Cricetulus griseus: one gene and its partners. The protein of the gene in region 7 interacts with the protein of the main gene of each other region in a pairwise test. Links are inferred from orthologs where the notes say so. Each region holds a gene or a part of one and is shown on either strand. Other genes may lie near its edges.

What was found.
Region 1: the proteins of Mfap1 (region 7) and Mad1l1 interact in binary tests that used the Homo sapiens proteins (3 or more experiments, as listed by UniProt). The two-hybrid records come from large-scale screens. The link is inferred for Cricetulus griseus from reciprocal best matches to the Homo sapiens genes MFAP1 and MAD1L1.
Region 2: the proteins of Mfap1 (region 7) and Trim54 interact in binary tests that used the Homo sapiens proteins (3 or more experiments, as listed by UniProt). The two-hybrid records come from large-scale screens. The link is inferred for Cricetulus griseus from reciprocal best matches to the Homo sapiens genes MFAP1 and TRIM54.
Region 3: the proteins of Mfap1 (region 7) and protein LDOC1-like interact in binary tests that used the Homo sapiens proteins (3 or more experiments, as listed by UniProt). The two-hybrid records come from large-scale screens. The link is inferred for Cricetulus griseus from reciprocal best matches to the Homo sapiens genes MFAP1 and LDOC1.
Region 4: the proteins of Mfap1 (region 7) and Tle5 interact in binary tests that used the Homo sapiens proteins (3 or more experiments, as listed by UniProt). The two-hybrid records come from large-scale screens. The link is inferred for Cricetulus griseus from reciprocal best matches to the Homo sapiens genes MFAP1 and TLE5.
Region 5: the proteins of Mfap1 (region 7) and Bicd2 interact in binary tests that used the Homo sapiens proteins (3 or more experiments, as listed by UniProt). The link is inferred for Cricetulus griseus from reciprocal best matches to the Homo sapiens genes MFAP1 and BICD2.
Region 6: the proteins of Mfap1 (region 7) and Katnbl1 interact in binary tests that used the Homo sapiens proteins (3 or more experiments, as listed by UniProt). The link is inferred for Cricetulus griseus from reciprocal best matches to the Homo sapiens genes MFAP1 and KATNBL1.

Annotation. Positions count from the first base shown.
Region 1 is NC_048597.1:76,648,391-76,651,740, reverse strand, and holds the end of Mad1l1 (mitotic spindle assembly checkpoint protein MAD1), read left to right. Parts: intron 1-2,277; coding exon 2,278-2,436; 3' UTR 2,437-2,850; downstream 2,851-3,350. UniProt on the Homo sapiens protein: Component of the spindle-assembly checkpoint that prevents the onset of anaphase until all chromosomes are properly aligned at the metaphase plate.
Region 2 is NC_048600.1:13,268,719-13,272,967, reverse strand, and holds the start of Trim54 (tripartite motif-containing protein 54), read left to right. Parts: upstream 1-1,449; 5' UTR 1,450-1,866; coding exon 1,867-2,034; intron 2,035-4,249. UniProt on the Homo sapiens protein: May bind and stabilize microtubules during myotubes formation.
Region 3 is NC_048604.1:11,336,581-11,338,722, reverse strand, and holds protein LDOC1-like, read left to right. Parts: upstream 1-1,189; coding exon 1,190-1,642; downstream 1,643-2,142. UniProt on the Homo sapiens protein: May have an important role in the development and/or progression of some cancers.
Region 4 is NC_048598.1:102,308,504-102,312,634, forward strand, and holds the start of Tle5 (TLE family member 5), read left to right. Parts: upstream 1-1,331; 5' UTR 1,332-1,508; coding exon 1,509-1,535; intron 1,536-2,986; coding exon 2,987-3,084; intron 3,085-4,131. UniProt on the Homo sapiens protein: Transcriptional corepressor. Acts as a dominant repressor towards other family members. Inhibits NF-kappa-B-regulated gene expression. May be required for the initiation and maintenance of the differentiated state.
Region 5 is NC_048596.1:269,172,759-269,176,258, forward strand, and holds part of Bicd2 (protein bicaudal D homolog 2), read left to right. Parts: intron 1-3,381; coding exon 3,382-3,500. UniProt on the Homo sapiens protein: Acts as an adapter protein linking the dynein motor complex to various cargos and converts dynein from a non-processive to a highly processive motor in the presence of dynactin.
Region 6 is NC_048599.1:65,978,194-65,982,262, reverse strand, and holds the start of Katnbl1 (KATNB1-like protein 1), read left to right. Parts: upstream 1-1,269; 5' UTR 1,270-1,420; intron 1,421-4,069.
Region 7 is NC_048599.1:56,936,828-56,941,066, forward strand, and holds the start of Mfap1 (microfibrillar-associated protein 1), read left to right. Parts: upstream 1-1,439; coding exon 1,440-1,518; intron 1,519-2,818; coding exon 2,819-3,038; intron 3,039-4,239. UniProt on the Homo sapiens protein: Involved in pre-mRNA splicing as a component of the spliceosome.

The DNA of each region.
Region 1 (3,350 bases), on a different chromosome or scaffold from region 7:
AGGGCTGGGGAGTGTGGCTTGGTGGTAGGGTACTTGCCTCTAACTCGTATGAGGCCCTAGGTTCCACCCCTAATACCACACTTAAACACACACACACACACACACACACACACACACACACACACACACCCCTACACCTGGGGGGGGGTGCAGAAGAGGCATGACATCTCCTGCTGAGGAGACCCATACCATGGGGGACAGGAAAGAACCCTGGAGGCTCTCCTGGCACCCTGCTCCTACCCCCACAGCTCCGCCTGCTCCTTCCCCAACAGCCGCCTCAGAGTCAGCCCCTCTGACATTTCGGGAAAAACATTGCGAGTCGAGAGCAGAAGGGAGAAATGAAAGGATTTTCTCGAGAAAAGGTCAGAGTGGTTTCTCTTATTTTTGTTTAAAGATGGTTTGTGTTGAACTATGACAAGGCCAAATGTAATAAGGGCCAAGGGAACAGGCTGGGGGTCGACCCACGTGAGAAAACAGGAGGAAAACCCAGGTAACAAGCAAGTCAGAAGACAGCTCAGGGAGTCATTGAGACAAAACCTCACATGCCCTGATGCCCCACGAGGGATGGAGGTGGAGGGGTTGGGGGCACAGGCTGCTCCCCAGGTCCTCTCTTGCTCATGCTAGGGAGTCAGTGGTAGTCATGGGCTGCCAGGACCCATGGGAGCAGACTGACCATCTGTATGGCTCCCAGGAACAGAGGCACCTGCAGAGCCACTGGCAGGAAGGGACCTTTCAGAACAAATTCATCCCTGCCTTGGCTTCACGGTGGCCATGCATTTGGGTTCTCATTAGCACATCCATTGTGCATTCATTGGCACAGGCTAATCCACAGAGAAACACTATCACTGGAGCAGGCACTCCCTTCCCCTCTCATCCTGGTCCACACCAATCTGCCTCCTACCTCTACATATTGTCTTGTATGGATGCCTCATGTCAATGGCATCACTATGTTCAAAGTTGACCCTGAGCTATCATGCATCATGTCTTGTCCCCTTGTTCCTTTTCAGGGCTAAAGAGTGTGTGTGTGTGTGTGTGTGTGTGTGTGTGTGTGTGTGTGTGTGTGTGTGTGTGTACATATGAATCATATCACTGTGGACATCCCATGTACATCTTACTGTGGATACATGTATTTACATGTTCTGAGGGCACAATGGAGGGGTACCAATGGGTCATAACGGAGGAATTGCCAGGCTTTTCCATAATACCTGAGCTTCCTGCAATGATGCCCAGGTCTTCTGATTTCTCCTCCTCCTCATCCACCTTTCCTAATGGGCTCTGGCCTGACTGACATCTGCCCTGATGACCCCATAAGCCCACCAACTTTATCAGACCCTCCTGCTTCTTCTTTGGAGAACCATCCAGTCTGACCTATACCCGCCTCCCAGCCGGGTCCTGTTTCTGTGGCTGAGTGAGGAGGGGCTCTAGGTTTGCTAGATACCAGTTCTACATCAGACCTAAGGTTTGGGAGCAATCCAGAGTGGGTTTGTGACCACTTCTTGCCTGGCCTTGTAAACAGGAATTTTTCTTCCCTAGTCAAGCAGGCCTTCTACATCTTTGGCCACTGCAGCATTCCTGGGCCAGTTGGCAGGGGAGGCCCCAGGATAAGTGATAGCAGGGAAATTCAGGATTACAAGGAGGTTCACTCAGGGCCTCTGTCTGCTTCTCCCAGCCTAGCCTACATGGTAAGAGGGCAGCCTGGCCAAACAGCCAAGTAACCTGGGCATGCCCCGGGAGGCCAAGCTGTGTACCATTGCAGCTCTGAGCCTACCTGCAAGCTCCACTCCCACCTCCCCATCACAGCCATCACAGAGTCACTATGCCCTCCCTTCAGTTATAAGTGACATAAGAAAACAGGGAAAGAACCAGTCTGGGCTCCAGAGTCTACCCTTCCAGGACCAAACCTCCATCAGCCAATACCCAGCATCCTGGCTTCACAGTCTGGAAGATGCTTGGGGCTTACTCTGCCTCCCCAAGTCAAGCATGTGACAGCTGAAGAGCTGGTGACTGGAATTGAAGCCCCCAAGAATCCAAATCCTATTGAGGCAAGACTGCCTGCCTGCTGTGAATCTCAGCTCCCTCTGCGGATGACCTCGTGCTTTGCCTCAATGGGCATCGGGCAGAAGCAGGCCAGTGCCCGTCTAGCCCAGGCTGCTCTTGCGATGGCAGGAGTACAGCCTTCCTGGGCCCTCACCCCCTCCACTGGGAGCATGTGAGGACAAAGGGCAGACACCTGCCCAACAATCAGCACTGATGCCCCTCTCTTTTCTCCTCCTGCAGGCCACAGGACCCTCAGGCTCCAAGATGCAGCTGTTGGAGACGGAGTTCTCCCGTTCAGTGCCTGAGCTCATTGAGCTGCACTTGCTGCAGCAAGATAGCATTCCTGCCTTCCTCAGCGCCCTCACCATCGAGCTGTTCAGCCGCCAGACCTCCATCTAGCCTCCATCTGCCCGCAGGCATCCTCACTCTACAGCCACTGGACCTCTGCCTAGCCTATACCCCACATTGTCCCCAGACCCCTTTGCCACCTATAGCTGCATCGTGCCACAAACACTAGCCAGAGCCTCTGCTCAAGCAGCCACTCTGTCTCTCCGTCTCTAGTCCCTAGCTAGCAGGAGCAGCTGCTAGGGACGACCAAGCCAGATCACAGTCTACTACTCTCCTCTCTTGTCCCAAACACTGGGCCTCTCCTCTTCCTCCTGTTTTAGAGCCCCTCCCTGCACTGTCCCAAGGTGGCCCCACACCAGCCTCCAGTCCCATATGCTGGTTGCTTGAGGCCACTTTGGTGGCCAGGCTGTGGCCTGAGACTGCAGTCTCAGCCTAATGAAATAAAGTGTTATCTTTATCGTTTTCCCCGTCTGTTTCCAAGGCACCAAGCTACCTCACTGCCCAGACTCCACCACACTGCCTGCCATGCCTGGACACCTGGGCAGGCCTCACCACACCACCTGCCATGTTCCACTGGACACCTGGGCAGGTCTCTCCGCACAGCCTGCCATGCTTGGACAACTAGGTGTGGACTAAGAGGTGGATGGGGTCAGGGAAGCAATTGTGTCCCATCCCACCAGAGCCTGGGTATCAACTCCCTGCCTTGGTTACTCCACCTGCCTCTCCCCTGCCTGAGGTCTCTAGGTCCAGAGGCTAATTATAGCAGCATCTTGCCTATGAACAGTAGTCACTCCCTTTGGGCATGGTTCCAGGTGTGTATGTGACCCATTTAAGGTAGAGGATGGAAGCCCCTTTTGGGGCTTCAGAGAGGCAGGGTCTGCCTCCTTCGAGCAGAGATACCGCCATGATCATCCCGGTGCGCTGCTTACAGATGGGAAGCCCACCTGGGACTGCTGCAGGCCGGG
Region 2 (4,249 bases), on a different chromosome or scaffold from region 7:
GAATGTCAATAATAAAAAAGCCTTGTCCAATTCCACTGTGTCCAAGTTGTGTGGGGGATAGAGAAAAAGATCAATGATTATTGCTCAGGCCTGGGATGAGGCTGCCATGGTCGGTAGAGTTGATCACAATGGAGCCAGGGGTCAAAGATGCCCAGTGGTGGTGCCTCTGTCAGTGTCCTGAGACTGCTCTGCAGACTGGTTCACTGGTGTTCCAGACAACTGCAGCATTCGGAATGTTTCCAGCCACATCTGTTCTCACACTTTTCCTTTTTTATATGTGTGTGTGTGTGTGTGTGTGTGTGTGTGTGTGTGTGTGTGTGTGTGTGTCTGCATGTGTGTGTCTGTGTAAATGGGTCTGCACATCTGTCTGTGCATGCCTGTGGAAGCCAGAAGAGGGCGCTGAGTCACTCGGAGTTGTGGTAAAGGGTGGTTGTGAGTGTTGGGGATCTGAACTCCACTCCTCATGAGACTGTCTTAACCATTGAGACATCTCCAGTCCACTACTGTCTCAGATTCTAAGCAAATTTAGCGTCCCTGAAATGGCTTCAGTGGTAGACCAGAATCACACACTCTCATGCCCTGATCATAAGGCAGGCCTGGGCTGGCACAGCAGCCATCTCTTGCCTCTTCAGCTGCTCTCCTAGGATGATATAACTGGCCATCCAAGGGCGATGTAGTTCAGTAAGCACAGTGCTTCTCTAGTACACAAAAGACCCCGAGTTGACGCCCAGAACCTCGTAAACTGGGAATAATGGTGTTCTCCCCTAATCCTAGCACTTTGGATGTAGAGTCAAGAGGATCAGGAGTTCAAGGTCATCCTTGATGACAGTGAATTCAAGGTTAACCTAATCTACTGAGAGCCTGTCTTTAATAAGGGAGAGGGAAGTTTGTGGCTAGATTGCTCAATAGGTAAAGGCATTGGTCACCAATTCTGATGACCTCAGTTTGATTTCTGTAACCCCCACACTGAAGAAAAAGAAGTGACTCCTGTCAGTGACCTGTGACCTCCACATATGCTCCATGTCATACCTACCCCTCCCTAAAGTAAATAAATGTAGTTGTTTTTTTAAGGCTGAACAAGAACAAATATGGACCAGACATATGGGACAAGAAGTTCTCTTTTGTAGGGTCTGGAGTTCCACTTCTGAATCCTGAGTCTCCAGGAGGAGGGTCAGGATCAATGCTCAGTATAAAAGGGAGAGACAGAAGTCTGTAGATCCGTCCAGACCATCCTTCCCACCCTGAGCCATGTGTGCTGTCTCTCCCATGTGCTAGTTTCTGTTAGGAAGAAGGTCTCAAGCCAGAACACGGAGAGCAGAGGTTGCAGGAACCTTCCCAGTGACAAGTGAGCCCCACACTGACCCACCACCCACTGAAAGCAGTGACACCCCTGCTGCTCTTCTTGCTCAAGAAAGCCACCAGCTGAGTGAGTCAGGGTCACTCAGTCCGGGACAGCTGTGGCTCGCCTTACATGAGCTAAATTGGGAACTGGAATGTCACACAAATGCCCCTTGTCTCCCTACCCCCACAGTAATATTAACCTCTCTAGCGAGCAAGGGACAAAGAGTACTGCCTGTAGAGTGAGCACGAGGGTGGTTTGGGGGAGCAAGAGAATTTCTCAGGGGGAGCTAAAGGGACAAGTTTGTGGAGACGGCTCTGAACAGGGAGTGCAGACAGAAGCGTCTGGAAATAGCCAGGGTGAGAGGGGCCGTTAGAGGGAGAGAAACAGGAAACATCACCCTTTCAAGAGGGAGCAAGATCAGGGATCCTAAGAATCCACAGACAGCCTAAAGTTTACAAGAAGTGTGCACAGGCAGCGAGAGAAGGCCAGAAACAGGGCCAAGGCAGGCACTAGAGCGCCAAGGGATGAACTTCACCGTGGGTTTCAAGCCGCTGCTAGGGGATGCACACAACATGGACAACCTGGAGAAGCAGCTCATCTGCCCCATCTGCCTGGAGATGTTCTCCAAGCCCGTGGTGATCCTGCCCTGCCAGCACAACCTGTGCCGCAAGTGTGCCAATGACGTCTTCCAGGTGGGCTTGGGGACAGCTGGGTCAGGTCTAGGAAGGGACTGGGTGGCAGGTCCCACAGGCGGGAGATGGTGACGCTGCCCCAACTCAGTGGCAGGAGAGTTGGAGGCTGTGGGATCCCAGAGGAAGCACGAGTCAGCAGTTGCCCAGAGCCTGGCAAGCACAGCCTGTGTGCACAGCGTCAGAAGGAGGACCCCAGGGAGACTGGCAGAAACTGGCAAGGAGGGTGGTCTTGCCTGGACTTTGTGGGAGCCTTACTAGATTTCATTTACTTTGAGGCTTTGTGGTTTTATTTATTTACTTTCTTTACACACCATAGATGAGATCAATGAAATATGAGGTATTAAAAAAATAATAGAGCCAGCAAGACAGTGAAGACACTTGCTACCAAAGCTGACAACCTGAACTTGATCCCCAAAACATAAAATTAAACCCTAGAATTAAAAATTTGTGACAAACCAGTGAGAAAGCCTATGATGCCAGCCGAGCTGTGTATATTTGAGATAGAGCTCCTCTCTCCATGAGGGAGCTGCTTAGACACAGTGGGCCAGGGAAGCAGAAGTTTTCCCCAGTTTCACACCTGTGAGCCCTCCTGACCTGGTGAAGAGGCCCATGGACCAACTGATACTCAGGTGATTTATGGACAGAGAGAAGGCAGAAGCAGAATTGTACTTCCCAGAAATGCCTGTGTAGCTGTGGTCATGAGGCCGGGCATAGCTAAGTTAAGTCACTGATATCATTCTGTCCACACATTTCAAAAATAAAAACAAAAAAGCTGGGCATGGTGATGCATGGCTGCAATCCCAGCCCTTGGGAGGTGGCAGCCGGAGAATGAGTTTAAGGCCAGCTTGGGCTATGTGAGACCCTGTCTAACCAACTAAATAAATGCATACATCATAATTCTTTATAAATTCATAGGCTTGCTTTCCTACCCTGTATCATTCATAGAGGTTCCAGTAGGCTGTAAACTAGATCAGAGGTCAGGGAGAGCGAAGGGACAGGACTCACGTGTACAGACATGAGACCTTGCAGATGAAGTAAAAACTGCAAGATCCGGGTGGCTTGGTGCAAATCTGTGACAGAAGCATCAGGAATAAGATTCCAGCCAGGAGCCAGGCTGTGTGACACATGCCTGTGGTTGAAACACCTAAGAGGACCACCACAACTAGAGACTAGCCTGTTATACATAACTCCCACAAACTAGAGGCTAGCCTGGTGTATGTAACCACCACAAACTAGAGACTAGTCTGGTCTATGTAACCCCCACAAACTAGTGGCTAGCCTGGTCTACATAACCACCACAAATAGAAGGTAGCTTGGTCTATGTAACCACCACAAACTAGAGGCTAGCCTGGTCTATGGAACAATTATACCAGTATATCCACTGGCTATGTATAGTAAGACCAAGTCTCAAAAATTAAATAAAAAAGTGGTAGGGCTGGAGAGATGGCTCAGTGGTTAAGAACTCTTGTTGCTCTCCCAAACAACTCAGTTTCCGTTCCCAGCATCCACATGATAGCTTACAACTGTCTAACTCCAGTTCCAGGGGACCTGATGCTCCCTTCTGAACCCTCCCCTCATGGGCATTATGCATGCAGGCAAAATACATACACATAAAATAAATCTCAAAAAGATTATTCCTGCTTTTCACAGACTATGAGGGAATGAGTTGAGCAGACATTTTCACACCTTTTTCCCTCCTCTCTTTGGTGCTATGGTTAATCCAGGGCATTGTGTGTGTTAAACATGCATTCTACCATTGCTCTACACCACAAGCCCCAACACAAGCTATTTTTTTAAAGATTTATTATGTATACACACACCAGAAGAGGGAACCAGATTTCATTATAGATGGCTGTGAGCCACCATGTGGTTGCTGGGAATTGAACTCAGGACCTCTGGAAGAGCAGCCAGTACTCCTAACCTCTGAGCCATCTCTCCAGCCCCAGCACAAGCTATTTTTAAAAAAATATTTCTTATTAGTGTGTGTGTGTATGTGTGTGTGTGTGTGCGCACAGAAGCCAGAAAAGGGTGTCAGATCCCCTGGAGCTGGAGCTGCAGTGTTTGTGATGTGGCAGCTGGGAACCAAACTCTGATGCTCTGAAAGAGCAGCATGTGTTCCAAATGGCCAGGCTGTCTCTCCAGTCTTGACACAAGTGGGTCTTAACTTCACTGAGAACATAGCCTTTTAGGTTCCTTGGCATAGCAGGCTTTCTTG
Region 3 (2,142 bases), on a different chromosome or scaffold from region 7:
CAGGAGGTCATGTAAAAAGGGCATGCAGAAGGAGGTCCTTGTATGTTACGACCAAGGGTTTGCTTTTTATTCAGAGCAGCAGAGAGGGAAAAACTGCTGGAGAACGTCGAAATGGGGAGTGAAAGGCTCTAACTCACATTCTAAAAGTGTTCTGAGGCTATTCTAGAGAATATGCAGAAAAGGGGAAGAATGACAGCTAAGGGATTAGATGTAGCAGACCAGACCGTGAAAGAAGGCTGGGATCGAGGTAGCAGAGATGCCCGGAAGTGACTGAATGTGGAGATGTATTTTAAAAAGCAGACCCAATAGCTATCAGCTCAAGGATCCTGGACCAAACTTAGTTATCGACAACTAATGACGTTTAAAATAGGCAGACAAAGTTATTTTACAGAGCTCATCACAGTTTATAACTTAGGAACAAAGGCACTGATAACAGGAATATGGAAAGAATCAAAGATAGAATGTTGGCAAATGGATACTCTGTGCAGATTTGGAGATCTTTTGGTGAAATTGTCTCAACTGAAGAGAAGCCCCTGTTGACAATTACTTATGTATTTAATGAAAGCACCCCTTGCAAGTCTTGAAGTCTCTAAACTCAAATGATCTCCCGCAGTATGACCCTCAGTGTCAGTGTTATTTCTCTGGGTGAAATTTAAACAAGCAAGGAAATGTGTTAAGAAAGCATTACTCTAAAAAAATGTTGATGGCTGCAGGCCCACCGAGGAACACTGTATTGGATGAACAGGTCGGCTGCAGAGAAGTTTAAGCTGAAGCAGGCCAGCCCTGAGTGCTGAGCTTCTATGCTCGCACAGCCCTCCACTGTGGCAGGCTTGGCTCCCCCAGCGTTTCTTCATCAGGCTGGGGGAATTGACAGAGGCCCGGGGCGATGCTCCCTTGGTCACGCCTTCCTCCTCCTGGGCCACGTCCACTCGGTCCGTCAGTCCCACCCTGGCCACACCCCCACGCCACCAGCACTCCCCTCCGCCACGCCTTTCTCACCGCAGTGCGCTGGCGCATTGGCTGCCAGAGTGACCTTGTGGGTGGAGCTTCCGCCACCAGCTAGACCCCCTCTGCGCAGTGCCCAGGGTCAGCACTCCTCTGAGGACACGCACTTCCTCTACGGCCTCCTTGAGCAGCTCCGCGGAGCCGATCCGAGCCCGAGAGCCCGAGACCTGCCAAGCGAGTCACCATGGTGGACGAGCTGGTGTTGCTTCTGCACGCGCTGCTGGTGCGACACCGCGACCTGTGCATCGAGAACAACCGGCTCATGAAACAGCTGCGGCTGCTGGTGTGTGAGCGGGCCATTCTGCTGCGCCAGGTACGTCCGCCCAGCTGTCCGGTGCCCTTCCCCTCACCGTTTAATGGCGAGAACGCCCGGCTCCCCGAGTTTATTGTGCAGACGATGTCCTACATGCTTGTGAATGAGGACCGCTTCTGCAACGACGCCATGAAAGTGGCATTCCTGATCAGCCTCCTCTCCGGGAAAGCCGAGGATTGGGTGGTGCCGTACATCCAGACAGATAGCGCCATTCTCTGTGATTATCGCGCGTTTGTTGAAGAGATGAAGCAGTGTTTTGGCTGGTATGACGACGAAGATGATGATGATGATGATGACGACGACTGTGAAGCGGTTGATTGCTAGGCCCCGAGCCCCCTTAGGCCTACATGAGGAGGACCCTGCACGCTGCGTCCTCCCTACCCCCACCGCTACTCCTGCTGCCTCCGTGCCCCCCTTTGCATTGCCATTCTCTTCCCTGCCAATCACTTCGCTCCTTCATCCCTTTTAGTGCTTGTCTTTGTGCCAATTACCTGCTACGAGTGCTTGAGTTGGGCCTGGGCCTGGCTCTGAGGTTCACAGTGTTCAATTTTAACCAATCCGGGCACCTTTCTAATCTGAACTGTGTTTTGAGCTCCAGCCATTGTCCAGGCCTGTGTTAGAACTCGTCAGACCACCTGCATTCCTGCCGCTGGCTTCTGATGGATCGCCATCTACATCTGCCAGAAGTGGATGCCTGTCACCTCACCCCCCCCCACCACCACCCCCCACTGCATCTCATCTGCAGCCATCCACTTTTCAAGATATGGACCAGGAAGAAGATGATGGAGTTGGCTACATCTATTCAGACTCTCATTTGGACAGTT
Region 4 (4,131 bases), on a different chromosome or scaffold from region 7:
TCCAGGCCAGCCTGGGTTACATGTGACCCTATTTTCATTAAATAAGATAGTGTCAAACTCACCAGTGGGACTGTTACCAGAAGCCCTGCCATGAGCAGCGGCCTTGCCTCCTGGGGTCCAGTGTGTGAGTTCTGTCCCAGGGGCTTTGTCCTTGTCCTATGGGCCAGAGAGTCTCCATGCTCCCTCTTCCCCTCAACTGCATACCCCCCCCCCTTAGCTCCTCACTGGGGCTGGGCATCCTAGTGGACCAGGCCTATTGGGCCTATTGTTTCTGCTCTCTCTCTCTCTCTCTCTCTCTCTCTCTCTCTCTCTCTCTCTCTCTCTCGGTTTTCCGAGACAGGGTTTCTCTGTGTAGCTTTGCAGCCTATCCTGGCACTCGCTCTGGGGTGCAGGCTGGCCTCGAACTCACAGAGATCTGCCTGCCTCTGCCTCCCGAGTGCTGGAATTAAAGGCGTGTGCCATCAACGCCCCGGCACCTCTGCTCTCTGATCTTTGTGGGTCACCTGTGCATAACAGTCGACTTTTGTCAGGGTCTGTCTCAAGTATGGGACAGACAATTGCCATACAGCTCAGGCTGGCCAGAAATTGTAGGAATCCCTCTGCTTCAGCTTGCTCTGAAATGTTGGGCACTAATTAGCCCCGGGAACTATTTTCCTTTTATATATTTATGTTTTTATTTTAATTATTCTTGAGAAAGGGCTCATGCAATCCTGGCCAGGCTAGCCTCAAACTCAGAGAGATCTGCCTGCCTCTGGGCCTCCGGAGCGCTGGAATTAAAAGGTGTGCACCACCTCTGTTTCCAGTAGGTCTCTAACTTTTGTTATTTTTGAGACGGAGGCTCATGTAGCCCAGGCTGTATGGGAACTCACTGTGTAGATCAGGCTGGCTTCCACCTGTCTCAACCTACCTTGCACTGGGATTAAAGCCTTGCACCATCACTCAAGTCTTTTACTTTCTGTTGCTGTTTTGAGATTGGGTGTTTTGTAGCGCAGATTGGCCTGGAACTCTTGGTCCTCCAGCCTGTACACTTCAGTCAGTGGTGACAGGCCTGGCCCCTTCCTACCTCCGTGGGACGGGTATCACCGTGCCCCCAGCCGTGCCAAGCCTCCCCTCCCCACTCCAGAGAGGGCGAGGCACACCGTAGGCGATTCATAAATGCACCTTGGGGTCTGGGCACTCAGACTGTGGGTCTGGGGCCTGAGAGTGGAGTGGGGGATCGAGGCAGGCTTCGGGCCAGGGCTCGGGGCCGCGGCGGGGGCGGGGCGCGCGGGGCCAAGGTCACGGGTGGGGCGTCCGGCCTGCGCAGTGCCGGGCGCGGCAGGTGGAGCGGGAGCCCGGGCGGCACCGCGTCGCCATTACACAATAGCGCGGGCGGCGCGGGCGGGCGGCGGGCGGCGCAGGAGGCGGGACGCGGGGCCCCGGAGCTGCCGATCGGGGACAAAGCGCGGCCGCCCGGCGCCCCCCGAGCCGCCCGAGCCGGGGCGCAGCCCGCGCCCCCCGCGACTGACATGATGTTTCCGCAAAGCCGGCACTCGGTAAGGGGGACCCCGCGCTCTGCACCCCGGAGCTCGCCCTGCACCCCCGGTGCTCGCCCTACATCCCCAGCTCTGCTCACTGAACCCCCGGAGCTCGGATCCCGCCTGTCTCCCCGCCCAGGGCCTGCCCCAGGGGCTCCCACCGGCGCTGTCCCCGGGGTCTTTGCACCCAACCACCCAGGCCGTGCGCACCCCACCGGCCCAGCACTGCATCCTTCAGCCCGGACCCCTGAACTTTGATCCCGGCCTCGAGCCCACCCCGTGCTGCCTGCCCATCCCGACTCCGGACCAGCCTGTCTCTCAGCCCGGGGCCCCGCACCCCACTCCAGCCGCATCCGGCCTGTCTCCCAGCCCTGGGGCTCAGGCCCAGGGCTGCAGCACCCCAAGCCCAGGCCGCACGTGTCCTCCAGCCTGAGACCTTGCACCGCCACCTCTGCGCTCCCGCACCCCTCCGCACCAGCTCGCTAATGGCCCCAGACCAGCCTGCCCCCAAGTCCAAGGCCCTGCACTTCCATCCCTGCCCCCAAGTCGGCTGCCCCGCACCCCAGAATATAGGCTCCGTACCCACTGCCTCTCCCCCGAGCCCTTTCGGGCCTGGCGTCACCATCCGGGCCCAGCGCCACCCCCCAGCCCGGCCCTGTGTCCTGCAGCTGCAGGCCTCGCACCCCAGAGGCCTGCCACCTCCCAGCCCCCATCCTGCACCCTCAGTACCGCAGTGTGGGGGACCCTGCGCCTTTATAACGCCCACTGTGCCTCTGCCCCTGTCCGGAGCCCGAGGACCCCCCACGCCCGCCCTCCCCCAGCTCCAGGCGCCGACCCCCCGCACATCCCTCCCACCCCAGCTCCCGGTGGCCCGGCAGCCCCCACCCTGCTCCCAGCCTTGACCCCAGACTCTAACTGTGCTCCCCAGATCCGAAAACCTTACACCCCAACTCCTGGCCCAGTGTCCTCAGATGCCAGCCCTGTGCATCCCCTCACCCCCAGGGACACCTCTCGGCCCGCCCCTGCACCCTAACATTTACCATCTGCCTCCCTGACCCCAGGCCTGTCTTCCTCCCATGGCTTTCACTGGGGCTGGGGGGAACCCCGCGAGGCACCCCTGGGGCTGGGCAGCTTTGGGGGGAGTCCCCTGAGGAAACAGGTGTGATGGGGGTACGCCCAGGAAGTGTGGGGTGGTAGCTAGGTGCATCTTCCAAGCTGGCTTTGAAGGCAGGCCTGTGTCCTGTTTGACGTAGAGGGGCTTCCCGGGGACCCCTCAGAGGCCGCTGGAGGATGGGGTGCCTGCCCCCCAAAATGACCAACGGTAAAAGCGCCTCCTTGCCTGGGGGCCTCCCAGCCCCCTGCAGGCTTCCTAGGAGAGTGCTGCTGGGGCCTGCAGAGCTCAGCCAGGAAGTAGGGCGTGGGCGGGCAAGCAGGCCCTCACCCTCCCGCACCCTCACCCGCACCCGCAGGGCTCCTCCCACCTCCCCCAGCAGCTCAAGTTCACCACCTCCGACTCCTGCGACCGGATCAAAGATGAATTCCAGCTGCTGCAAGCCCAGTACCACAGGTGAGCCCGCGCCAGGAAGGCCGCACCCCCAGAATGTAGGGGTTATCTGTGGTCTGGAGAAAGGCTGGGAGGGGGTGGAGGCTTGAGGGTCAGCAGTTCAAGGTCATCTTCAACTACTTAGCAAGTTAGAGGCCAGCCTGGGATACATACCACCCTGAGTCCAAAACCAAACCAGCAGCCCCGTAGTGTGGAGGGGGAAACCGAGGCACACAGTGTGTGTTGCTTCAGAAGCCGGGTCCCCAGAGAGCGTGATGCTCTCATTTTAACACAGGCTGCAGTGGGTGTCCAGAGAGGGTTATTAATCAGCCAAGGTCCACACAGCCCCTCCTTCTCTTTCTGTCCACTTATGGAGTGGGGGAGCTTGCTGGTGTCCCACAGACCATCCAACTGACGGGCTCCCACAAACTGTTTTCCTGTTTCTCATGTGTGAAACTAATCACTCTGAAGCCCAGAGAGCTCAGCCATTTCCGAGGGCTGCACAGCACAGAAGCAGCCTGAAGTAGGGGACTGGGGAAAGCGTGGCCTGGGGTCCCCATTTGACCCTGTACTCCCAACAGTGAGTGAGCATGGGGGTGCGGCCCAACACTCAGTTCTCAGACACACAGGAGGAGGATGGAGGCGTTTTGGGCTAGCCTGAGGTACAGAGCAAACCTATGTCTCAGAAAACAAATAGTAATAATAGTAATAGTCTTTGAAAGATACTCAGAGTTCTCCAAGAAAAAGGAAATCTTGGGTTTGTGATTTTTTTTTAATTTATTATTTTTACTTTTTGGTATTTATTTTGAGACAGGGTCTCATGTAGTCCAGGCTTCCTCCAGCTCCCTTTGTAGCCAAGGATGACCTTGAGCTGCTAACAGTAGATGACAGTCAAGAAGGGGCCCAGTGGAGCTTCATGTGCTAGGTCAGTGGAAGCTACCTACCAGGCCACAGCCCCAGCATTTGTCATTTTAGAGAGGGCACAGGTGTGCCCCCCCCCATGGTCTCCCACTCGGGTCCGTGGCCCCGCCCTCCTCAGGGATGCCTTCTCTGAGCCCGGGCCTGAGTTCC
Region 5 (3,500 bases), on a different chromosome or scaffold from region 7:
ATTTTTTTAATTTATCCACCGCCCCCACCCCGTGTACACATGCCGCTGTGTCTGTCTGTCTGTGTGTGTTTATAGAAGTTAGAGGACAACTCTGTAGAACTGACTCTCCTTCCACCTTTATTTACCTGGGTCTGGGGATTGAACTTAGGTTAGTAGACTTGAATGGCAAATGCTTTTACCTGCAGAGCCTCTCTCAGCCCTTGTACTTTAAAATAATGAAAAGCTAGGATTACAGATGCACACACTACCACATCTTGTCTTTATGTAGCTTTGGGCAGTTCATACTCAGGTCCTTATTACATGGCCAGCATTGTACCTACCCACTTAGCCAAGGTCTCCCCAACCCACTTGTGGTGGTTCTTTCTCCCAAGATGGGCCCATCTCTATTGCCCAGGCTGTTCTACCTTCCTGCCTCAGCCACCTGAGTAGCTGGGATTACATGCATTCACTGTTGACTATCATGCTCAGATCTGAGGTTCTCTCTCTCTCTCTCTCTCTCTCTCTCTCTCTCTCTCTCTCTCTCTCTCTCTCTTTCTCTCGTCAGTTTTCTACTGCAAGCTGCTGGGCCTTCGACTGGCATTGTGAGGAATTGATAGACAGGCTCCTTGTAATTGACGCGCACCTCACTGTTGCTCTCATGGATTTGTTAGGCCCTGCTTTGATTGTTTTTGTTCCATTTGGGCATTCACTTTGGCTGTCTTCCAGAGTTGGTTTATCCCTCAGATGCATGGTGTGTCTGTTGTTGTCCCTGCCTTTCCTCTTCACAAGTTCTTTCTACTGGCATCCTTTATGTCTTGTGTTTGTTCTTTGCTTCTGAGTTGAGAATTTGGTTCTGGTACCTGGCCCTCAGCCTGCCTGCCCTTCTGGGCCGCTCAGAGCTGTGTGCTGTCTGCTAATCCTTTCTTCCTCAAGTCTTCACCGTAGAGCTCACCTGTTGGCAGCTGGATGTGTTTGTTTTCCTGAATGTGTTCTGAGCTTTGTTCTAGGATGTAGTGGCTTGGAAATGGATTAATCCTTTCATGGTCTGTCTTTACACTTGGCTCTGCTGTGCTAGAGCAGCGTGTAATCCAGGCTGATTCTGCCAGGCCCCAGACATGCTCTCCCCAAGCCTGTGAGTCTGGCTAGCGGGAACAGGCTTGTTTTCAGACTGTGGCAGGGATATTGTTCCTGCTCTGCCATATGGTCCTTTCCCCTGGCTTCCCCAGCCCTACACTGACCATCCTCAGTAAAGATTCACTCTGGGCCTGAGCTCTGGCTGCCCTTACGTCCCTGTCAATAGACACCTTCTTCCACAGGTCCTGCCATCAAGCTCCATCTGAAGGGGTGAAGGATGTTGCAGGATTCTCCTCATCCTGTCATTTTACTTGGCATTACAGACTTGAAAACTGATGCTTATTATTTTATCATATTTAACATTGTTTGTGTGTATGTGTGTGGACACATACCACATTCATGCCCTGCACATACCATAATACACATATGGAAGTCATAGGACAACTTGGGGAGTCAGTTCTCTCCTGCCACGTGAGTCTTGAGTTTTAGTACAAAGGTTGTCAGGCTTGACGTCACACGCTTTTACCTGCGGAGCCATCTCACCAGCCATGTTGCATCAGACTATTCCTGTGCTTTCCAGTTCTTTTCCTACACAGGAAGTGGAACCTGTCCTTGTGACTGTGTGTCTTCTCAGTTGGAGGTAGATGTCTCCATCAGTGTGTTTGAAAAGCTGTCCAGGGCTGCTCCTGTGCCCTAGGCTGGTAGCTTGGGTGGAGGAAGAGAGTTGGGGCCCAGGTTGGCAGGCCTGGGCTTGAAGATTGTATCACGCTGCTTAGCCATCACACTTTGGGGAAAAGTTCTGAGAAGTCCTTGCCCCAACTCCCAAGTTTATGGGTGTGTCCTAAGCAGCCACAGGTGCTGGACTCTTCAGTACAGTCCCAGAGCCCTGAGTTGGGGGCCAGTTTGGTGTCTGGTTCCCTTTGTGTGTCTTATGGTGGACAGGTAGCATGGGTCAAGTTCTGTGCAGGTAGCAATGTGTTACTTGATCCTTCCCTAGGATCAGGGTGAAAGCAAACAGACAGAAATCACAAATCTGAGCTGCTTTGATTTGTGTAGAATGGATGCTCTGTTAGAGGACTGAGAGCACATGGGCAAGGCCTGGCTACCTTGTGAGGGAATCCAGTCCCCTGCAGGAGTGTTACACTGTGATCCCCAAGTTGCCCTCTGATACATTCCCTGGGTCTACTGGGCTGTGCATCCTCTGGCCCCTTGGGAGGCCTTCTCACAGTGTCTGGGACACGGCCTATGCCTCAGTCTAGACCCTGCTCCATTCTGCCAGTTCCCTATCAGGATGAAAATTGCTTTCTGCATTTTCATGTGTTAGTGTTAGAAACTGCTTCAGCTCAGTAGCATCCCTGTACAATGTAGCTTTGTATGTTTTGCTTATTGTTTTCTTGGACTGAGTTCCCAGACCTATGAAGTCATAAATGAAAGAAAATAGTCCTGTTCTCTTTTAAATCTAGTGAAAACCATCATATTCTTGTTCTTTAGTAACTCTTCTCTTACTATTGTTTCTTACCATGAGCTATGACTCCTATAAAGAGTCAGGCAAGGAAGGCCAAGGAGATAGCTCAGCCTCTCAGTGGGGTATGTAATGGAGGCCAGGCTGGCCAGGGCCCAGTGTGTGACTGGCACGGTGTTGTGGGTGAGGCCAGTACTTGTTGCTCTCACTTTGTAGGTTTTCTTCCTGAGTCCTAGAGTCCCACACCTTGCTCCTCACCCCAGTGTCTGAAGCATGCAGATACATGCATCTCTGTGCCTATGTACCCTGAGATGGCTACTCTAGCTAGTTGTTACTGTGCCCTGTCCTTAGGGCTGGGGGCCCAGCCCTGGTTTGTCCCAGACCAAATGAAGGATGATTTGACATCAGGTAGCAGGATGGAGTGGCTCCTCACCCCTTGCATGTAATGGCTAGCACAATTTTGTAAGCCTGGAATGTATGTTGGGTGTGCTGCTCTAGGGTTGTTTCCCATTAGCTTGGCCAAGCTCACAGTATAGACCATTTGCTTCCTGGTCCTGGGAACTTTCCAACTGGCACACATCATCAGGCCTCAAACTTTGTCCCTTACAAAGGAAATTCCACCTATGTCTGTGACCCTATACTCTTAGTGTTCCTTCCTGTCACTCCACATGATGCTCCTAAGACTAGTTTGGTTTCACTCAATGTAATGAAACGTGAAGCGTGCCTGCTACACACATCTCAATGTGTGTTTTAACATGTGCACAGCATGGAACTGCTTCACAGGTCTATGTTCCTGTGGTCTTAGGCCTCCATTGCTTTGTGGCCCAGGGACACCCATCTCATGAAGGTCTTTTCTGTGCACACAGGCATTTGGACAAGCACACACAAACCACAAAAAGGTGGCTGCTGATGGTGAGAGCCGGGAGGAGAGCCTGATCCAGGAGTCAGCCTCCAAAGAGCAGTACTATGTGAGGAAGGTGCTGGA
Region 6 (4,069 bases), about 9.0 Mb from region 7:
ATGATGAAGAAATACCTTGAGAGAAAGTGACTTCATGTGTGTTAACTTTTTATTTTAAAACACCACCACCTACCTAGTAGAAGCCATGCTCACAAATACTCTGTCTTGCCCCAGTTCCTTTCACACACTCAGCCAGCGGGAGCTAACAGGTGTGGCCACACATGTGCCTGCTTGTGCTTGGCATCATCTGAGAAAGTCTCAAAGACGTTGCTCACACAGTGTTCTAAAAATATTTTCCCATTGTCATAAATGGTTGCTTCAAATTTTTATTATTACTTATTTTGGGGGGTTAAGTGAGCGCCCCGTTACTACAGAAGGAAAATACATTACATTACAATCACTTAATGGCCCCTTAGCTCCAATTAGTGCTCTGTATGCCCACAGTATTTAGGATATACCTTTCATAACTTCACTCAGTGTGATGTATCGGGACTATCACTCTGACTTCTGCACAGGGGAAGACCACCGTACAAGACAATCTTACTATCTCAGGTTTTTTAACCCTGACCAGTGGCTTACCCTGACTAGACTCTTATCAAGAGAATTGTTCTCAGTAATTAAAAATGTGCCGGGGACAGAACCAATCCTAATCTCATAGTCAAACATTCCTGCCCTGATGAAACTAAACTTGCTTCCCAAGAAGAGGGCCTTTAATATGCACATTTCCTGTCTTAAGTTTCTTGCAGCAGTCTGTGAGTTTTGGAGGCTTGGAGTTGCAAGGTATTTTTTAAATAATAAAGTTTCTAAAAACTGTTAAAGAGATTCTCGAAGTTTGGCACATAACAGGAAACAAAACAAGATAGTCAGGAATTACGTAGAGCTTACCAGGAGCCAGGTACTCTCGGAATAATTTTGTTTGTATCAACCCATTTGCTATCCACAGCAACCTTAAGAGGCAGATACATTGTTATCATTCTGGTTTTACAGACGAGGAAATCAAAAGCACACACACTAAGTTCCTGTGATTTGTTTAAAGTCTCACAGTTCCAGAGTCTACGCTTTTTAACCACTATATCCTGGTCGTTTCAATGAGAATAAATGTTCATCTCTCCTTGAGGCCCGGGTGTAGTCCCTTACTAGAGTATCCCTAGCCCCCAGGGTCTTTCTTTCCTGGGTGCCTCTGTTCTAGTAGCCTTCTTAACCCCGCCATAGCAAAGCGTCCGTGAGCCCCTATGGCCACTAGGGGGCGCCGCGGCCACGCGCCCTGTCCCCCCCTCCCGCAGGCACCCGAGGGGGCGGAGCTTGCGCTGGGCGGGGCCCGCGGACGCCCACGGCTAGCTATCCCGGCGGGCCGCGCGCGGCGGTGTTTGAATGGCTGTGAGTGGGGCCCGGCTGGGGATCCCGGGGACGCTCCGAGCTGCCGGGCGCGGTTCGTCAGCACAGTGGCTGGGCTGAGGCGCTGCGCTACCATGAGGCGCCGGTAAGTGACGGCCGCACCGGGTTGGGATCTCCGCTGCTGCTCGCTCGTGCGCAGGCTTCTCGAGCGGCTGGCCGGGCCCACCTGCAGGCCCCGCGGCGGCGGCCTTTCCCGGGCAAGGCGGCGGGGTCGGGGCGGGGCGCGGACGGGTGGGGCCGCCGGTCTCCCGCGGACCCCCCGGGCGGGCCACGGCTGGGAGCTGGGAGCTGCAGGCCTCGGGGGTCCTGGCGGGAGAGGCGTGGACCAAACCTGCTGTCATTTCTTGGTCCTCGGGTGGAGTCGACGTCTACACCCCACAGGGAAGGACGGGGCGCGTGAGAGGATCGCTGTGCGAGGAGGACAGGTTTTCGCGAGAGCCGTCTAGGCCCGGCTGAGGCATTTCCTTATTTTCGGAGGAATTTTTGATTCCCAGACAGATCGGAATTTGTTTCTCAGGACAGAAATTTGACATAGCTGCGTAAGAATTGTTGACTGCAACTTTTAAAACTCCTCGTGCTTTCTGAAAAGTTACTCTGTAATTGTACCCAGGCGCTTAACTGGGTTTACGTACGGAGATAACAAAGAGTTGATTTGTTTTCTGGTGGCTTATAAAGTGCCTTGAAAACATCTGTATCAGTTTCTTTGCAGATACGGAGGAAAAAAGTAATTGGGAGAGGAATTAGTTCGGTAATTGTCACCAATTTCGTGCTTTAAAGCATTCTGAGACACGAGTCCTTCTAATACCTGCAACTTGTGTAAAATCATTCAAGATTATTCTTCTTTCTTTTAAATCAGCTTCTTCGAGTCAGAAGTTTATGCACGGAGGCTTTTACCTGGTCAGTAATAAACTATGATGAGCAATATTTATTTTGTTTTCTGTGTGCTGAGTTGTTTTAAGAGCGTGCTTTGGAATAGGTAGTGTTATTATCATCGTTTGCCTCCTCAGCCTCTTTCTTACTAATATACAAAGTGTTGTCTTTTTATTTACTTCAGCTTCGGAGATTCTTAAGTGAGTATACATTTGTGTACACACGAATCAATCTTCACACCAGTGACAGTATCTGCTCATATTGGCCACACTTAAGTTTTATGCCCGAGCCCCTTCCCCAAAATTGTTTTTAAGATAAATGGACGTCATAAAGTTTGTAGGTTCATTTTTTAGAGATTGTGGAGAACAGCTGGAAACATTTTTTTTAAAACTATGGTACACTATTTTGTATTTGAAATGAATGTACTTAATAACTCCATGAAAAGAAATGCAATCCCAAAGCAAACCACTTCATGAGTAGTCAACAGTTCACTATTATTTATACCCAAACCTTTAAAACCACCTTCATCGGTTACCAAGGTTTTGATTGCCTCACTGTCCAGCACAGTACTGAGTCTAGTCAGCTATATGCAAGACATGTACCAGGTAACAAATATGAAGTTAATTTGGTGTGAAATTAGTAGCAAAAACATATGTGATACTCTTCTCTGTTGGTGCAGTGGGTATCTGAGTGATAATCTGAACTCAGTAAGTACTGTAGAGCTAACAGTTGAAAAGCTTATATAAGACAGTTAGTAGAAGGAGAGGTAGGGTATTTTATCGAGGAAATTGTTCGAAGACTGGGAATCCAGAAAAAAAAAATGACTTATTGGGAACATTTAGCCTGGTCTTTTGGAAGTTCATGTTGGTTAATATTATATGAAGCAAGACTGGGGAATGTTGTAAATGAGACATGTCCATGAGCTCTCTCTCTCTCTCTCTCTCTCTCTCTCTCTCTCTCTCTCTCTCTCTCTCTCTCTCTCTCTCTCTCTCACACACACACACACACACACACACACACACACACGGATTTGGGAATTTATAAACTTTTATGTCAGTGGATCTCAACTGAGTGCATTTTTCCCCCTCCATAGGACATTTGGGGATGTGAGACTCTTGTGATACTGTCAATCTGTTGACCACAGACTCTGGAGTACTTATTAAACATCCTACAATCAGATCTCCATAAGAAACAATTACTCCAAATGTCAGTGTAGGATGCAAGTCTGATAACCTGAGTTTGATCCTGGAACCCACAATAAAAAAAACAAAACCCCACAGGCCCCCAAAAGGTAGGTAAGGAGTCACAAGGCTCTAATCCCTACCATAAGATGGGAGGCAGAGGAAAGATGGGAGACAGAATCACAGGAACCTGAGGGCCACCTAATCTGTAGTAATATTACGGCATGGTAAAAAAAACGAGAGACCCTTCCTCAACAAGGTAGAAGGAGAAAAGCAATTTTCTAATGTTACCCTTTGACCTTTGTTCATAGTCTAGCATGTGCACGCACACACAAATATTTTATGAATAATTTTAAATCAATTTTTAATGTTTAAATAAATCAGTTATAAACACTTGCCCCTCAATAAAACCACTGTTAATATTTTTTTGTTTGTTTTCTTTAGACAGGTTTTCTGTGTATAGTCCTGGCTGTCAGCCTGTAACTAGCTCAGTAAACCAGGCTGGCCTTGAATTAAAAAGATCCACCTGCCTCTGCCTCTCGAGTGCTGGGATTAATCTTGGTTGGTCATGAAGCAGAGAGTTTAAAGGGCTAATTTTGAGTTTTTGTGTCTTAAAACCTAACTTTTTTGGATTTTTGAGGCAGGGTTTCTCTGTAATGGCTCTGGTTATCCTGGAACTCTGT
Region 7 (4,239 bases):
CAAAGTTGTCATCAGCTATACAGGCAGTTCAAGGGAGGCCGGAGCTACGTGAACCCCTGTCTCAAAATAAGGAGAATAAAGAAAAAAAAAAGATGCATTATGTGTTGCTTGTTTCTAATAACTGATAATGCTGGTTTAAATTGCACTTGGCGGGGCTGGAGAGATGGATGGCTCAGAGGTTAAAAGCACTGACTGCTCTTCCAGAGGTCCTGAGTTCAATTCCCAACAACCACATGGTGGCTCACAACCATCCTTTATGAGATCTGGTGCCCTCTTCTGGTGTGCAGATACACATGGAAGCAGAATGTTGTATACATAATAAATAAATAAAATTTTTTAAAAATGCACCTGTTTTGAACTAAAGAAAACCTATAGATGGCCAGGGGTGACCAAAAACAAAAAAAAAACAAAAACGCGTGAGCCACCACCACCCGGTTTCATAATATAAAATTTCTGTAAGTGACACACCTGTGTGTTTAATCCTAGCAACTCAGAAATCGAGGGTGAAAAAACATACAAAAAAACAAAACACCTGCCTGGGCAACACAGCAAAACACAGTCTCAAGATTAAATAAAGAAGAATAAAGATTTCCATCTACATTTGCCTTTTTTAAGGCTTTTCTAGTGCTTAGGCTTCGTCCTTGTTTCGTTGATTGTAAGCACTCACTAATTTAAAGTTTGCCAGTTTTCAGTCTTCAACCAGCAAGAGCCCAATTGCAGAAAACAAGTGAAATAATTTGACAATTATATTAACAGCACCTTCAAGATCATCTATAATATTGAACTCCCAGAATGTTGTCTTTGTAGACCAGACTAGCTTCAATCTCTCGGAGATCCGCCTGCTTCAGCCTCCGGAGTGTGCTCCAACCAACAGATGGCCCTTAGGGATTTTTTTTTTTTTTAAAAGCAGGGTCTCATTCTGATGCCCAGACTGGCCTCCAAACGCCGCTATCCTGTTTCAGCCTACCAGATGCTAGGATTACAAACGTGACCCGCATATCCGGCTCAGACTCCACACTTCTGGGGTTTCAACAAGATGCACAAGCAGCCCCTCACTATCTGCTCCGTTTCTCCAAAACATAACAAAGGAAACCTTTAAGGGCGAGGCGAACCCTCCTGAACCTCACCAAAACCTCAAAGAAGCAACTGCCCGCCAAAAGGAGCTTCCAAATCTTCAGAGATTAAAGGCGGGAAACTTACCTACGAAGACGCGTAAAATTTCAGCCTGGCCCTTTAAGCAGCCCGCGCTCAGCGTCCCTCCGCAATCCCACAATCCTCTGCCGGCATATTTCCGGTTCCTCTAGCTCTGCCGGAAGTCGTTTCTGTCAGTCGCGCAGCAGCGTCTGGCGGCGGCGCTAGGTGGGAGGAGGTGTTGTGTTCCTTGGACTTCGTTGTTGGGATTTAATCAAATTTTGGGAGTCTCCACCGCGGCCGTCACCATGTCGGTCCCAAGCGCACTCATGAAGCAGCCGCCCATTCAGTCTACGGCTGGGGCCGTCCCAGTTCGCAATGAGAAAGGTACTGCCTCCCCTCCCCTCCCCTCCCCTCCCTCCTCCTGTCTGATCTTACCTCTTACTGATTCAGTATCCCTCAAACCTGCCTTAGATTGGCCGTTTCAGCCCCACCGACTCCGTCCCACCTGAATCCGCACCCTGTCATGTACCCTAGAGATTGAGGGATGCGGAATACACTTGCGTCTCTCTATCTGATCGACCTGCTGAGATCACCTCTCAAAGTAAAAAGTAAAGGAGGCTGGAGAGGTGGTGGCTCGGCGGTTAAGGGCACGTACTGCTTTCCCAGAGGACCCGAGTTCAGTTTCCAGCACCCACATCAGGCGACTCAACAACCACTTGTAACCCCAAAACCTCTGGCCTCTGCTGGTACCTGCACGTATCCACACACAGCATCGTTAAAAATAATAAAAAATAGAGCCACAGAGATGGCTCAGCCGTTAAAGGCTAGACTCACAACCGAAACAGTAACAAAAGTAAAAATATAAGTGAGCTGGAGATCTTTGTGTGTATGTTATATCCAAGCTATCTTTGATTTTTCCCAGGTGGTTATAAGGATTTCCACTTTTTTTTTGGGGGGGGGGGTCGAGACAAGGTTTCTCTGTATTCTTATTACATGTGTATGGATGTTCTGCTTTTGTGTGTGTATGCCAGCCACCATGTGGGTTCAGTACCCAGAGAGGCCAGAAGAGAGTATGAGATCCTCTGGAACTGGAGTATCAGACTGTTACAGACTGCGCCGTGTAGGTGCTGGAATATGAATCCAGTCCTCTGCATGAGCAGCAGGTACTCTTAGCTGCTGAGCCATCTCTTCAGCTCCAACTTGTTTGTGTTTTAGAGAACATCTGGTTCAGCATAAGGGTTAGAAAAATTGATAAAATTAGAATATTAAATTATGTTATAAAGGCTATCATAGCATCTCAGAGAGAGGAGCTGGGAACCAAGTGTTCAAACATTTGATCATGGGTCATGTTCTCATTCAAATCACCACTAAGGGTTGAGATGACAAAGCCTCAATTTGTAGGTGGGGGGCAGGGAGAGAGGGTCTGCAGTTTCATTGTTCACAGTCTTCTACTTTGTTGTCCCCGAGGTACCTCTTGATGTCTTAGTTTTGGTATTTATAAAATGCCTTCCCATGCCATAGTCTTTATAGGAACCCACTGATAGATGAATATGTACTTGGATAATAACTGCCATATCCTCTCTAGACTCTGCTCCATCAAGAACTTAGGGTTCTATCTGCAAAGGCCAAGAATTGCAGGGAATTAGGAAAGAGGTTACTGAAACAAATTATCTTTCTTGTCCAGGTGAGATTTCAATGGAAAAAGTGAAAGTAAAACGTTATGTATCTGGGAAAAGGCCAGATTATGCCCCTATGGAGTCCTCAGATGAAGAGGATGAAGAATTTCAATTCATTAAGAAAGCTAAGGAACAAGAAGCAGAGCCTGAGGAACAGGAGGAAGATTCATCCAGTGACCCCCGACTTCGGCGTTTACAGAATCGCATTAGTGAAGATGTGGAAGAGAGGTATGACAAGAGTTACATTTGTCTGAACTGAGACCTGTCATGGAGATGATAGTTGATAATATTTGTGCTTACTGTGTGCCATATATATACTATCCCAAATAAGTTACATTTGCTAATTCTTACAATCTGTAGAACATCTTACAAAATTGGTACTACTATACCTATATCACAGGTGGGGAACTAAGGCAGCAGAGGGTTAGGGAAGTGGCATGACCAAAGTTATATAGCCAAGGAGTAGCAGCTTCAGAAAACATCTCCACTAGTCGATGGTGGTGCACACCTTTGGTCCCAGCACTCGGGAGGCAGAGGCAGGTGGGTCTCTGAGTTTGAAACCAGTCTGGTCTACAAGAGCTAGTACCAGGACAGCATCCAAAGCCACAGAGAAACCCTGTCTTGGGGGAAAAGAAAATACCTCCATAGGCCTAATGACTCTAATTAGCTGATAAAGAGAAAACAGCATTGATTGGTCTGTTGCAGGGAGTCTTTTCACTATAAAAATATTTTTATAGTAAATATTTGAAAAACTGATTTTATTCATATAGGGTTTGGGTTTTTGTTTTGGTTTTTTGGTTGTGGGGGTTGGGTTTTTTTGTTTGTTTGTTTTCAAAACAGGGTTTTTCCTATATATTCCTGACCATCCTAGAACTAACTATGTAGACCAGGCTGGCATCAAACTCAAGAGATTTGCCTGCTTCTGCCTCCCAAATGCTGGAATTAAAGGTGTGCCACCACCTGGACATATAGTTGTTTCTTGTGGTATTGTAGCCCCGAATGACCTGAAACTTGGCAATGATCCTCCTGTCTCAGTCCTCTCAGCACTGACAGTACAGGTGTGAGCCACCACACCGTGCTCTTGTACTTGTTCTAAAGACTAGTAAGTAAAAATGCCAAGTAGGGCCTGGCAGTAATGGCTCACCTTTAATCCCATGCACCCGGGAGGCAGAAGCAAGTGGATCTTTTTGAGTTCAAGGCCAGCCTGGTGTACAGAGTGGGTTCCAGGACAGGTTCCAAAGCTACACAGAGAAACCCTGTCTCAAAAAAAAAAAAAAAAAGACAAGTTATGTTATGTAAACTCATGTTGGAAAAACTCCCAGTTAGACATCAGAGCAGGCAAGCTATCCTGAACTTTCCCAGTTCATAGTGTTTCAATTTGGGGAGACAGGCAGGGGGTCTCAGTATGTAAAATTGTTTGTCATGTAGG